Mus musculus: one gene and its partners. The protein of the gene in region 2 purifies or fractionates together with the protein of the main gene of each other region. This does not show direct contact. Links are inferred from orthologs where the notes say so. Each region holds a gene or a part of one and is shown on either strand. Other genes may lie near its edges. The genes, in order: Tnpo1, Nup153 and Nup133.

What was found.
Region 1: the proteins of Nup153 (region 2) and Tnpo1 purify together in Homo sapiens (co-immunoprecipitation; 3 studies listed by BioGRID and IntAct, with this or other methods). This does not show direct contact. The link is inferred for Mus musculus from reciprocal best matches to the Homo sapiens genes NUP153 and TNPO1.
Region 3: the proteins of Nup153 (region 2) and Nup133 purify together in Homo sapiens (co-immunoprecipitation; 3 studies listed by BioGRID and IntAct, with this or other methods). This does not show direct contact. The link is inferred for Mus musculus from reciprocal best matches to the Homo sapiens genes NUP153 and NUP133.

Annotation. Positions count from the first base shown.
Region 1 is NC_000079.6:98,856,771-98,860,423, forward strand, and holds part of Tnpo1 (transportin-1), read right to left. Parts: intron 3,219-3,653; coding exon 2,993-3,218; intron 1,788-2,992; coding exon 1,616-1,787; intron 206-1,615; coding exon 119-205; intron 1-118. UniProt on the Homo sapiens protein: Functions in nuclear protein import as nuclear transport receptor. Serves as receptor for nuclear localization signals (NLS) in cargo substrates.
Region 2 is NC_000079.6:46,682,705-46,686,357, reverse strand, and holds part of Nup153 (nuclear pore complex protein Nup153), read left to right. Parts: intron 1-2,121; coding exon 2,122-2,475; intron 2,476-3,088; coding exon 3,089-3,361; intron 3,362-3,653. UniProt on the Homo sapiens protein: Component of the nuclear pore complex (NPC), a complex required for the trafficking across the nuclear envelope. Functions as a scaffolding element in the nuclear phase of the NPC essential for normal nucleocytoplasmic transport of proteins and mRNAs.
Region 3 is NC_000074.6:123,932,222-123,935,874, reverse strand, and holds part of Nup133 (nuclear pore complex protein Nup133), read left to right. Parts: intron 1-2,360; coding exon 2,361-2,508; intron 2,509-3,653. UniProt on the Homo sapiens protein: Involved in poly(A)+ RNA transport. Involved in nephrogenesis.

The DNA of each region.
Region 1 (3,653 bases), about 52 Mb from region 2:
CGCACCAGAAACTGTTGTGAAGACAGATATTTTTACCACACACACACATTCTGGTTCAGGCCATGACTGTGACTGAATGACACTGTTAGAATAACTGAACGTCACCAGCTCAGCGTACCTCAAGCAAAGGGAAAAGATCCTTGTCTTCATCCTTCAGCATGTTCCATTTCTGGATCAAAGGAGGCATTAGCATCTGAATATATTCCTGTTTACCGTAATGAAAAACAAAAAGCTTCACTATCATCTGCAAACATGTTCATTGAGTCTATAAAACTAAAACCCATCTGGAGCAATTGTGTTAAATTTTTACATTTTAAGACTTACTCTTTAATTCATATGATCCTGATTTAAAGTAATCTATATTTTTTTTAAAAGAAAATGTGTTATCAGTAAGTACCTTAGACCATCAAGATCTACTACTTGTTCTTTTCCTTTTTCAAACAGTCTTATGATGCAGCCCTGGCTAGCCTGGTATTCACTATGTAGTCAGAGCTGGCCCCAAAGCCATTTGCCTCTGCTTCTGCCTCTCAAGTGCTGATACTAGGTGTGTCATCAAACCCAGCATAATCCATACCTTGTTAGATCACAAGCTTTTTTTTTGTTTGTTTTGTTTTTTTGAGGCAGGATTTCTCTGTACAGCCCTGGCTGTCCTGGAACTCACCCTGTAGATCAGGCTGGCCTTGAACTCAGAAATCCACCTACCTCTGCCTCCCAAGAGCTGGGATTAAAGGCGTGCGGCCATCACTGTCCAGCAATCACAAGCTTTTTAAAAAAAAGATTTATTTATGCATTTAATATATATGAGTGCTCTATTTGCGTTTATACCTGCATGCCAGAAGAGGGCATCAGATCACATTATAGACAGTTGTGAGCTACCATGTGGTTGCTGGGAATTGAACTCAGAATCTCTAGAAGAGCAACCATTGCTCTTAACCAGAGACATCTCTCCAGCCCAAATCACAAGTTTTATTTTCAAGCGATAAACAGTTTTGGGGTGGGAAGAGCGGGCAGTGGCTTTATAATACCATCACATTAATTAAACAAAAGGCACAGGCTTTAAAACATGACCTATTCCTCAACGAACCAAACCAGCCAATATCTTGAGCATAATTTAAAACAAGAGTGAGTTACACTTACTGATAACACATTTCCTACAGTGACCACATGTCTTATCAGATATTATTCATATTCAGCAGAGACAGCTGACTCTTGTTCTTAAGACTTCAAATCCTCACTCATGTTTTACACAACTAGAAGCAAGACACTTCAGTACTGCTATTCAGCATTTTCAATCTCTCATTCCCATTCTCACTTTATATAGGCGACTCCTACTGCCTGGTACACTCTGAACAGGAAGTAGAGTGTGTAGATGCAGCAGCTTTGATGCCAGTGTTAATGAAATGGTGCTTACATGGAACTAAGTAAAGGAGCAAAGCCAGACTATAACATCTTCTTTACCCTCTTTCCTCCAGACACTTGAATTTCTGTACTAACCGTAAGTGATTTTCAAAGGTGGAAACGCTAACGGTTCATACTTCACTTTGTAATATACACTATGTATTTATTGCAGTTTATTATTGTAATGTCCCCATAGCAGTCACCCTCAGGTCCTTACTGGCTTGTTTAAATGATGTCCCACTGAATCTGCCAGTGTCCCTATGGCGTCGTACAGAATGAGCAGGTTCTTATGCTGGTATTTACTGAAGGCGAAGACGAGGGTATCGAGTATATAAGCAAGGTAAGGGACGAGCTCTGTACAAGCCTCCTCTTCTAATGTAGCGAAGGCACTAGGATGAGAAAAACAAACAAAAGGAAAAACAATAAATGGTCTCCAGTTCGCAGATGCTTTCACGTCACATCATGAGCACCTTGCTGCCTCACTCTGCATGCTTACTTTGGTTTAAAATTTTTTTTTTCATTGAAAATTATTTGCTTTATGTGTAGATGCCTGAGGCTGTGTTATGTGGCACCGAGTGCATACAGGAGCTCTTGACAACCATAGCATCTAAATCCCTGAAATGGAATTAGAGGGTAGGCTGACATGTACTGCTGGGAACTAAACCCAGGCCCTCTGCAAGAGCAGGTAAGTGTCTGTAAGCCATCTCCCCAGCTTGCCCTCTCCCTTTTTAAAATTTTAAAGACAGGGTCTCATTATGTAGTTCTGGCTGGCCTTGAACCACTTTGTAGCCCTTGTGGCTTTGAGCACAGAATGACACCTGCCTCTGTACCTAAGTTTGAGACTAAAGCTGGCACCATTACAGCTGGTAGTCTAGACTAGCCTCAAATTTGCTATGTAGCCCAGAATGACCCAGGCTGATCCTCACCTTCAGTCTTGACATGACAGGCATGCATCACCATGTCCAATCACATGGCTCTGAGGACAAAGCCCAGGACTTTATGCAGTCACTCTACAAATGGAGCCACATGCTAGCCTCAGTTTGCCTCCCTTCATTTACACACACACACACACACACACACACACAGGAGTACTTAGTCAATGGTGAGCTAGGATGGCACTAAATGGCCAAGCACTTGCCTAGCATGTGTAAGTATTGGGTCTGATCCCTAGATGGACAAAAGGTCAATGGTAAAAGCAGTTCAAAGAATTAGGAATTTAATTGCAGTTCCCATCTTCTTCCCCTGCTCCCAGAAACAGAAACCAGTAGGAATGAAAACAAGCAATTCTGATGTGAGCAGAGCCCAACCACTGGTACTGGCACGTTTTGAAAGATTGTGCACAGCACCATTGAGGACGTGTCAAAAGTCTGCAGGCCATTCAATCTCAAAGTTAAGGTAGTGGATAAGTATCTAAAATGTTGTTATTCGTTTGAAAATCCACCAAGAAAGCAAAGGATTACGACACATTTTGTTTAGTAAAACCGTTAGTAAAACAATTTCTCATCATAACTGCAGCAGTTTGTGGTATAAAAGTCTGCTGGTTTGAAACCAGGCTCTCATGTTCATAACAAACAGTGCTATGGCTCTGTCCTACCTGCAAGCTGCTTCCTGTACTCTCTTGTTGCTATCGAGGATACGCTTCAGCAGTTCTGTCATTAATGGCTTCAGGTACGTATCTGGTGGCTGGCTGACTACCCAGTGTGCATAGCGGCTAAGAGTCCAGCAGGTGATGGAACGCACAAGAGCCTTTTTATCAGAAAGGCACTGAATAAGGTGAGGAATGAGCTCGGGCAGGTACGGAATCATGCCTTGCATACAACCTAGGAAAGAACAGCAATCTTTCAAAACGTGCTATACTCAACTGTATATAGAAAGGACACAGCATCCACTAAGAAACATTTAGTATATTTCCAGGGCTACAAATAGAAAAGTTGATACCAAGCTATTAAAAAACAACAAATCAGAGTTAATTGTTCCTAGGTGTCTTAAAGGAGGTTAAGATTTCATTCCATTTTTTTCCATGATATTTCTGGTTTTCAAAGCACCTATAAATATTTTGAGACAATGTTTATAGTGAAGACAGGACATCAAAATGATGATGACATTCTCGTGTTATCAAGTCTCTAGATTTACCTGAGGAATAAAGTGATTTAAGAGAAATAGCTTTCAAACATTCGATTTCTTTTAGTTTCATTTACTATAACAAAAGCACCCACAGAAAATATGGTTGAACCCGCTGGCTGGGACCAGAAGAG
Region 2 (3,653 bases):
TTAGAATTGATGCATACTGTCAGGGAAAATAAGTTTTAGGTAAATTTTTATTTACAAATTATGGATAATGAGTCATCAAACATGTAAGGAACATTGGCAGTGAATATAATTCAATTCTAAGAAAACAGGATCATTTGAAAACTAAAATAGAGGTGGGGAACAACCTCATTAAAAAGAAGTTGGTTGACATAAAGCTGTTTGGTTGATGGAGTGGTGGGATGAGCATTGTCTGGTCTGATTATTGTAATGAGGTTTCCCAGAGCAGTGTCACCTGAAAAGTGCTTTTGAAATTGAATTCACTTAGATAATGAGAGTGGTATAGGGAAACATTAGAAAATTTAGAGGAAGATTTTCTGCATATAAAATAAGACACTGAGGCTGGAGAGATGGGCCCAGCAGTTATGCATACTGCTCTTTGAAGAGGACACAGGTTTTGAGTCCCAACACCTATTTTAGGTGGTTCACAACTGCCTATAATTCCAGCTCCAGGGGTATTTGATTCCTACACACATTCAGGTAAAAATTAAATTTAAAAAGACACTGGTTTCAAAATAAAAACGACTGAGCTGGGCATTAGTCCAGTGATAGAGAAAACATTCTGCAAGGCTTGTGCAAAGCCCTGGATTTGATCCTCAGTACCAAACAGTGCCCCATAAAATGAAATCATCTTGAACCATTTTGTAGCTAGAAAATTTTGATCAGACATAAAAGCAAATGTAGCTATTTTCAGACATGCAAAGTTTGTAACTTTGACACTTTTTTATTAAACACCTTTGAAGCACTCAGGGAACCCCCACATGGGAAATTCACATAACCATGAGTAGTTTTTTCATATTCGATGTTTACGTGTAAATTTGAAAACAACCTACAAAAAAAAAAAGAATTAAAACTGCCTATTATTTGAAATGGGGAGAAATGAAATATTGTAACCAGCTTTGATCATGAAATCTTATCACCTGTAGAAAGCAGTCGCCCATCCTGTCTAGTGTGTAGCTTCAGAGCTGAAATACTGAGAAAGTAGAAGTTTGATTCAGGTGGTATAAGAAATCAGAAGCTTTTCTTCAAGTCACCAATCAGTAGTTATACAGCATAAACAAGTCCTGTGTTTTCTAAGCTTTCTAATTATTTATCTAATTTTAAGACTTATTTATTTTATGTATGAGTACACTGAAGCTGTACAGATGGTTGTGGTTGCTGGGAATTGAATTCAGGACCTCTGCTTGCACTGGTCAGCTCCGCTTGCTCTGGCCCAAAGATTCATTCTATCTAAATACACTGTAGCTGTCTTTAGACATATCAGAATAGGGTGCCAGATCTCATTACTAATGGTTGTGAACCACCATGTGGTTGCTGGGATTTGAACTCAGGACCATTGGAAGAGCATTCATTGTGCTTAACCGCTGAGCCATCTCACTAGCCCAGCTTTCTAATTTATAATGGCTGCAGTGATAAGTGTAAGAGCATAGAAAAACCTCATTCCTGGGGGAAAACATTTCTTTTGTTCCTTTCATTTCAGTTATTAGTTTTTGTGGAGTTTGTCAAGCTCTAAGCTGCCTATGAAATTTGTAGGGGAAAGTAAACGCACAAGGAATGTGAGAAGAAAGGCAGGCACTAATCAATAACAGTCTAATAATAATGACAGTGACCACGAAGGGAAATACGTATAGATTAGGAGATTTAGGGTGCCACCAAGGTGACATTGTGTATTAATTATTAGCAGGAGTTAGCAAATACTCAAGTGCAGTCAGTATGATGAGATTTTGTTGATTTGTTCATGTGGATAAATGGAAGTCAGGGTGCTGCTATTGTAATATGACATAAACCACAGCACAGACAGACACGTACAAATGTACCCAGCTTCTACTATCTGATTTGGTTTCTGAATATAATACCAAGTTAGATTTGGATGTGAGACAGTGTATTTTACATTAAATTTATGCACATAGTAGCAGGACTTTTTATTTGAATGCTAAGGGTCTTTGAGTAAAGAGAAAATCTGTAGACCATAAAAGATAAGTACTTTTGACATTTCAAAGAATTGATGTTTACTTGATGAGACTATATTAGGTGATTTGTTCCTCCTTAAGGATTTATGTTTGTTTCTCAATCATTGTTTTGCAGATCAAGGTGCAGCAAAGCCAGTTTTTAGCTTCTTGAACAGCAGTTCCTCTAGTTCAAGTGCACCAGCCACTTCATCTAGTGGTGGCATATTTGGTAGTTCCACCTCTTCCTCCAACCCACCTGTGGCAGCCTTTGTGTTTGGACAGGCCAGCAATCCTGTCAGCAGCTCTGCCTTCGGTAACGCTGCTGAATCCAGTACATCTCAGTCTTTGCTATTTCCTCAAGAGAGCGAGCCAGCCACCACGTCCAGCACTGCCCCAGCTGCCTCTCCCTTTGTATTTGGGACAGGAGCCAGCAGTAATAGTGTGTCTTCTGGGTTCACTTTTGGGGCTACAACCACGTCAAGCTCTTCAGGTACTTCTGTGCTAGGAGAGAAAAATGGGGTTTGTAGTTGGATTGGTTCTGCTGAATTGCCAGCTGCAGTGTGCCTCCAATTCATGTAAGGTCTAAGGTCTCACCTGTGGAAAAATGGGCACTTCAGGTGGAATAGATCTAATTCTTAAGAACAGTATTTTCTAATTTTAGGAAGAATATATAACATTTCCAAGTTGCCTTTTTGAAATGTCAGATTTATAAGCGACCAGATAGTAATAGTGGTTGTATGGGATGTGTGTTTATACAGTGACTCAGAGCAAGTCTTTGAGATAAACCATTATAGAAAAAATTGTTGAGCCTAAGCTACTCAGTTCCAGGCCAGCCCCAGGAATACTATAAGACCTTGTCTGACAGGCACACCCCTCTTACTAGTAAATGATTGTTGGTTGCAAAGGGGGAAGGTTGTGTTAATTGAAGCTTTTGTTAAACCAGTGTATGTTTAGTAAACAGTGTCATTCATTGTTCTAATCTAATTGTAATCAAGGTAAGAGTGTGAAAGTAGCTTGAAATTTGTGGATTTACAAATGTTTCTCAAGGGTTATCTTATTATATATAAACCTTGATGTTGATTTAACTATTTCTTGGCCTCCAGGATCCTCCTTTGTATTTGGCACTGGACATTCAGCACCATCTGCCAGTCCAGCATTTGGTGCTAACCAGACTCCAACATTTGGACAAAGTCAAGGTGCCAGCCAGCCTAACCCGCCAAGCTTTGGCTCTATCTCGTCTTCAACAGCATTATTTTCTGCTGGTTCTCAGCCTGTACCACCACCTATATTTGGGACAGTGTCAAGCAGCAGCCAACCTCCTGTGTTTGGACAGCAGCCTAGTCAGTCTGCATTTGGCTCTGGGACAGCTAATGCCAGTAAGTTTGTATGATAGTTGACATCTATACTTACAGTCTGGTGTTTTAAAATAGTGTTTTTTCTTTGTACTTTGAAACTATGTGTGTGTTTTAATTTTTAATGTTTTATACTTAACAATGAATTGTGTTTCACATTTACGTATAAACATTACAGAGTTTTAGTCAACTTTATTTGATGGCTTTAAACTGTATTTAAAATGTTTCTTACTCTGATTTATGTATGGGTTGTGATCAACCCCGTTTCACTCTAGGCTGCTGTGGAGTGGGTTTTTTTTTTAATTTTTTTCTTCCC
Region 3 (3,653 bases), on a different chromosome or scaffold from region 2:
TTAAGGTGATGCCAGCACCCCCTCCTTTCTGTTGCCAAGGGAGCCCTGAACAGTGGTCTTTGCTCTATGGAGACATTGGGTTCTCGTCACCGTTAGTGAAGGAGCTCTTGTCCCACAGTCAGTGACTAAGCTGATGTAATGAGGCTGTGTCCTCCATTGCGAGCTAGACTCAGCATGGTTATGCTTGGTCTTAGGAAGGGCTTGGCAGATCACTCAGGCATCCTGAGGCAAGAGGATTGGGGTTCCTGGCCAGCGTGAGCCATGCACAAGACTCTGTCGAAAACAGACCAAGTTGAAGACTTTTTTGTTCTTGTTTGAGACAGGGTTTCTCTGTATAGCCCTGGCTGTCCTGGAGCTCACTCTGTAGACCAGGCTGGCCTAGAACTCAGAAATCCACCTGCCTCTGCCTCCAGTGTTGGAACTAAAGGCGCGTGACACCACCTTACCTGGACAATTGGAGACGTTTCCTGTGTCCCGTATGTTCTGGTTTTGGTGTGGCACAGCCGGTGTCCTTGCTTCTCGGAAGGTGTTGCGGCTGCCTCTGGTCATGAGGGGTGGTTATCTCCAGTACCATTGAGTCTGTTAGCTTGTTTCTCAGCAGGACCTGAAAACCCTGTAAAGACTTAGGAGTCTTTACTGAGTTATTATTGACAACGTTGTGCTTTCCTCATTTTAGATGTAACGAGGTTAGCTTTGTTTTGTGGCAGCTTTGTAGCACAAGTTAGCCTTGGCCTTGGGGTTCTCCTGACTCGGTCCCTAGAGCACTGGAGCACCAGGCATGTTCTCATTCCTGGCTGGGATTTCCCCATCTTAAGTTTATTAATGTACAGGTTCTTTTTTTAATTGATTAAAAAAATTTTTTTTCCTATGCATTGCTGTTTTGCCTGCATGTATGTCTATGTGAGGGTATCATATTTTCTGGAACCAGAGCCACAAACAGCCCTCAGCTGCCATGTAGGTACTAGGAATTGAACCCAGGTCCTCTGGAAGCAAAGCCAGTGATCTCAGCTGCTAAACCATCTCTCCAGCCCCAGCGTGTAGATTTTTATATAACCTGTTTATCAATGTTTTACTGATCTGCAGAATTTCGATTGACTACCTACTGTTTTCACTGCTTAAAATAACTTTATGGATTTTGGGGGATTTGGTTTGTGGGAGATTATTTTGTTTTGAGACATGGGCTCACTGTATAACTGGCCTGGAACTCACAGAAATCTGCCTGTCTTTACTTCCCACGTGGGGTTTTTGTAGAGGTTTTTGTTTTGTTTTGTTTTGTTTTGTTAAGATTTATAGCCTCTCTGTCTCTTTCTCCCACTCTGTGTGTGTATGTCTATGCACATACACACACATACGTATACCTGCAGAGCGCAGAAAACATCACATTCCTTGGAGCTGGCGTTTCATGCTTGTGAGCCTCCTGATGTGGGTGCTGGGAACAGGCCTCTGAAGAGTAACAAATGCTCTTAGCAGTTGAGCAGTCTCTCTAGCACTATGGGTTGTTTTGTTTTGTTTTTCCAATTAGGATCATAGGTAAAATCAGGGAATCCTAGCCCTATAGGACCACCTCTTAAGGACCCTGTTAGATGAGTAACAAGGTACTGCCTCAGTAGCGCTGGGTGAACAAGCATAGGTGCTGCTCATGGCCTTAGGTCACCTTGACCTTAGTAATGGACTGTGCTAATTCCCAGACTAAGCCAGGCTGATTGAATAAGCCAGGTGCATATAGAATAGTCATCTTAACCACAGTCCTGATACAGAACAGGATTGATTGGTGCTCAGCGCTAGAGCAACGTCTGCATACACTCGGCAGAGTTTAAACCTCACATAGGTGGCAGTGGGGAGAAGAGATCACTTTCCTCCCTTTGTGCCCCTGACAGTTACTGATCCGTCCTTCAAAGTTCTGTCTTTTTCAGAATGCTGTATAAATGCTATGTAATACAGCTTGACATGGTTGATTTAAAATCAATTCAGAAATGTCTCCATTTCCTTTGCTAGATAGCATTCAAGAGAAAATATGTGTAGATATATCAGGATTTATCTGCTCAGCAGTTGAAGGCATTCAGTTGTTTTCAGGTTGGCTACTGTAATAAAGCCACTGTAAACATTTGCATTAAGGCAATTGTGAGAATGTTTTTTTTTTCTTCCCTTAAGTATTCAAATATCTAGGTTCAGGGTTCTAGTTTATATGGTGTGTATAATTTTGTAAGAATCTGACTTTACAAAGAATCCTGCAGGGTGTAATGGCATCTGCCTTTGGACCTCTGAATCTCAGGACAGCCAGGGCTGTGTATAGTGAAACCCTGTCTCCAACAACAGCAGCAGACACAGAGGCCTCCTTTCTCTTCCCACCCCTTTTCTAGCGATGGGCTCCTGATTTTGGCAGCAGCGTGGCACCTGGGAGACAGCCCCTGTCTTGTCTATTACTCTGTGATCACGGTGGAAGACAATGGTAACCAGATGTCAGATGCAGTCACCGTAGAAGTGACTCAGTATAACCCCCCTTTCCAGGTAAGTTCGTCACAGGGAGGCCACAGCTCACCAGAGTCCTGCATAGCCACTGGTGGCTTTAAGGCTCACTGGCAAGATTTGGAAATAGTTGTAGATATTAGTGCGTTTTGTTTTTCCATCTCCCTCTCTGGCCCAGTGTGAAGTAAAGAAAGATGATACTGAAGGTAGCCCGCAGCCAGTCCTTGGACGATTTCGCTGTAGCTCGGTATTGAGTGGAAAGGAAGTTGGATGACAAGCTGCATGGTGAAATACTTGGATTCAAATTTTGGGGGGTGTGCGTTGGTTTGTAGTTGAGATCGGATGACTGTGTAGTCTAGTCTGACTACATATTCAAGATGCAGTCTTGTCTCTTGTCTCCCAAGTTGTTATTATAGGTATGTGCTATCGTGTCTTCCTGGGATTCAGTTTTGAGACCTTTATATTATAAACAAATTCCATGTGCCTAGGGGAGACTGTGATTTATGTACTCACAAAATAAACCACCAGGAGACAGCATCAGTGATGTTGAGTATAAACAGAAATTAAACACGTTCTCTAGTAACTGGCATTTGCCAGGGAAGCCATGTCCTTTAACCTCATGTAGCATCTAAGTCTATTAAGTCTTTACTTACTTGAGACGGAGTCTCACTGTGTAGCTCTGGCTCATCCTGGAGTTCAGAGTGCTGCCTGCCTCTGCCCCCATGTGCAGGTGTTAAAGGTGTGTGACCGTGCCTGGCCCTGGCTTGTTTGTTTGGGGATCTACATTGAGTGCAGTGCTGGCGGGGGCGGGGCGTTGTATGTGCCTCTGGAGCTGGGCACAGGTGACTGTGAGCCACCCCATAGCGATCCTCTCACAGAGCCCTTTCTCCAGCTACTAAATCTTTATTCTTAATATACTTGCTTATCTAAATCCCATAAGAAAATCTGTTGTTCTTTGATTTGTAACAGGGATAAATCTTACCATGTGTTTCAGTTCAGTATAACTGGAAATCATAGCTCAGTGTCATTTTAATTTTTCACAAAGTGCCGAGGAATATAAAGAAAACAATTTGTGAATAAATCTGCCCTACAGTCTCACTTTAATGTTATTTTGGGGACGAGAGATGGCTTAGTGAGGAAGAGCATTTGCTGCTCTGGCAGAGGACCCAAGTTTGGTTTCCAGCACC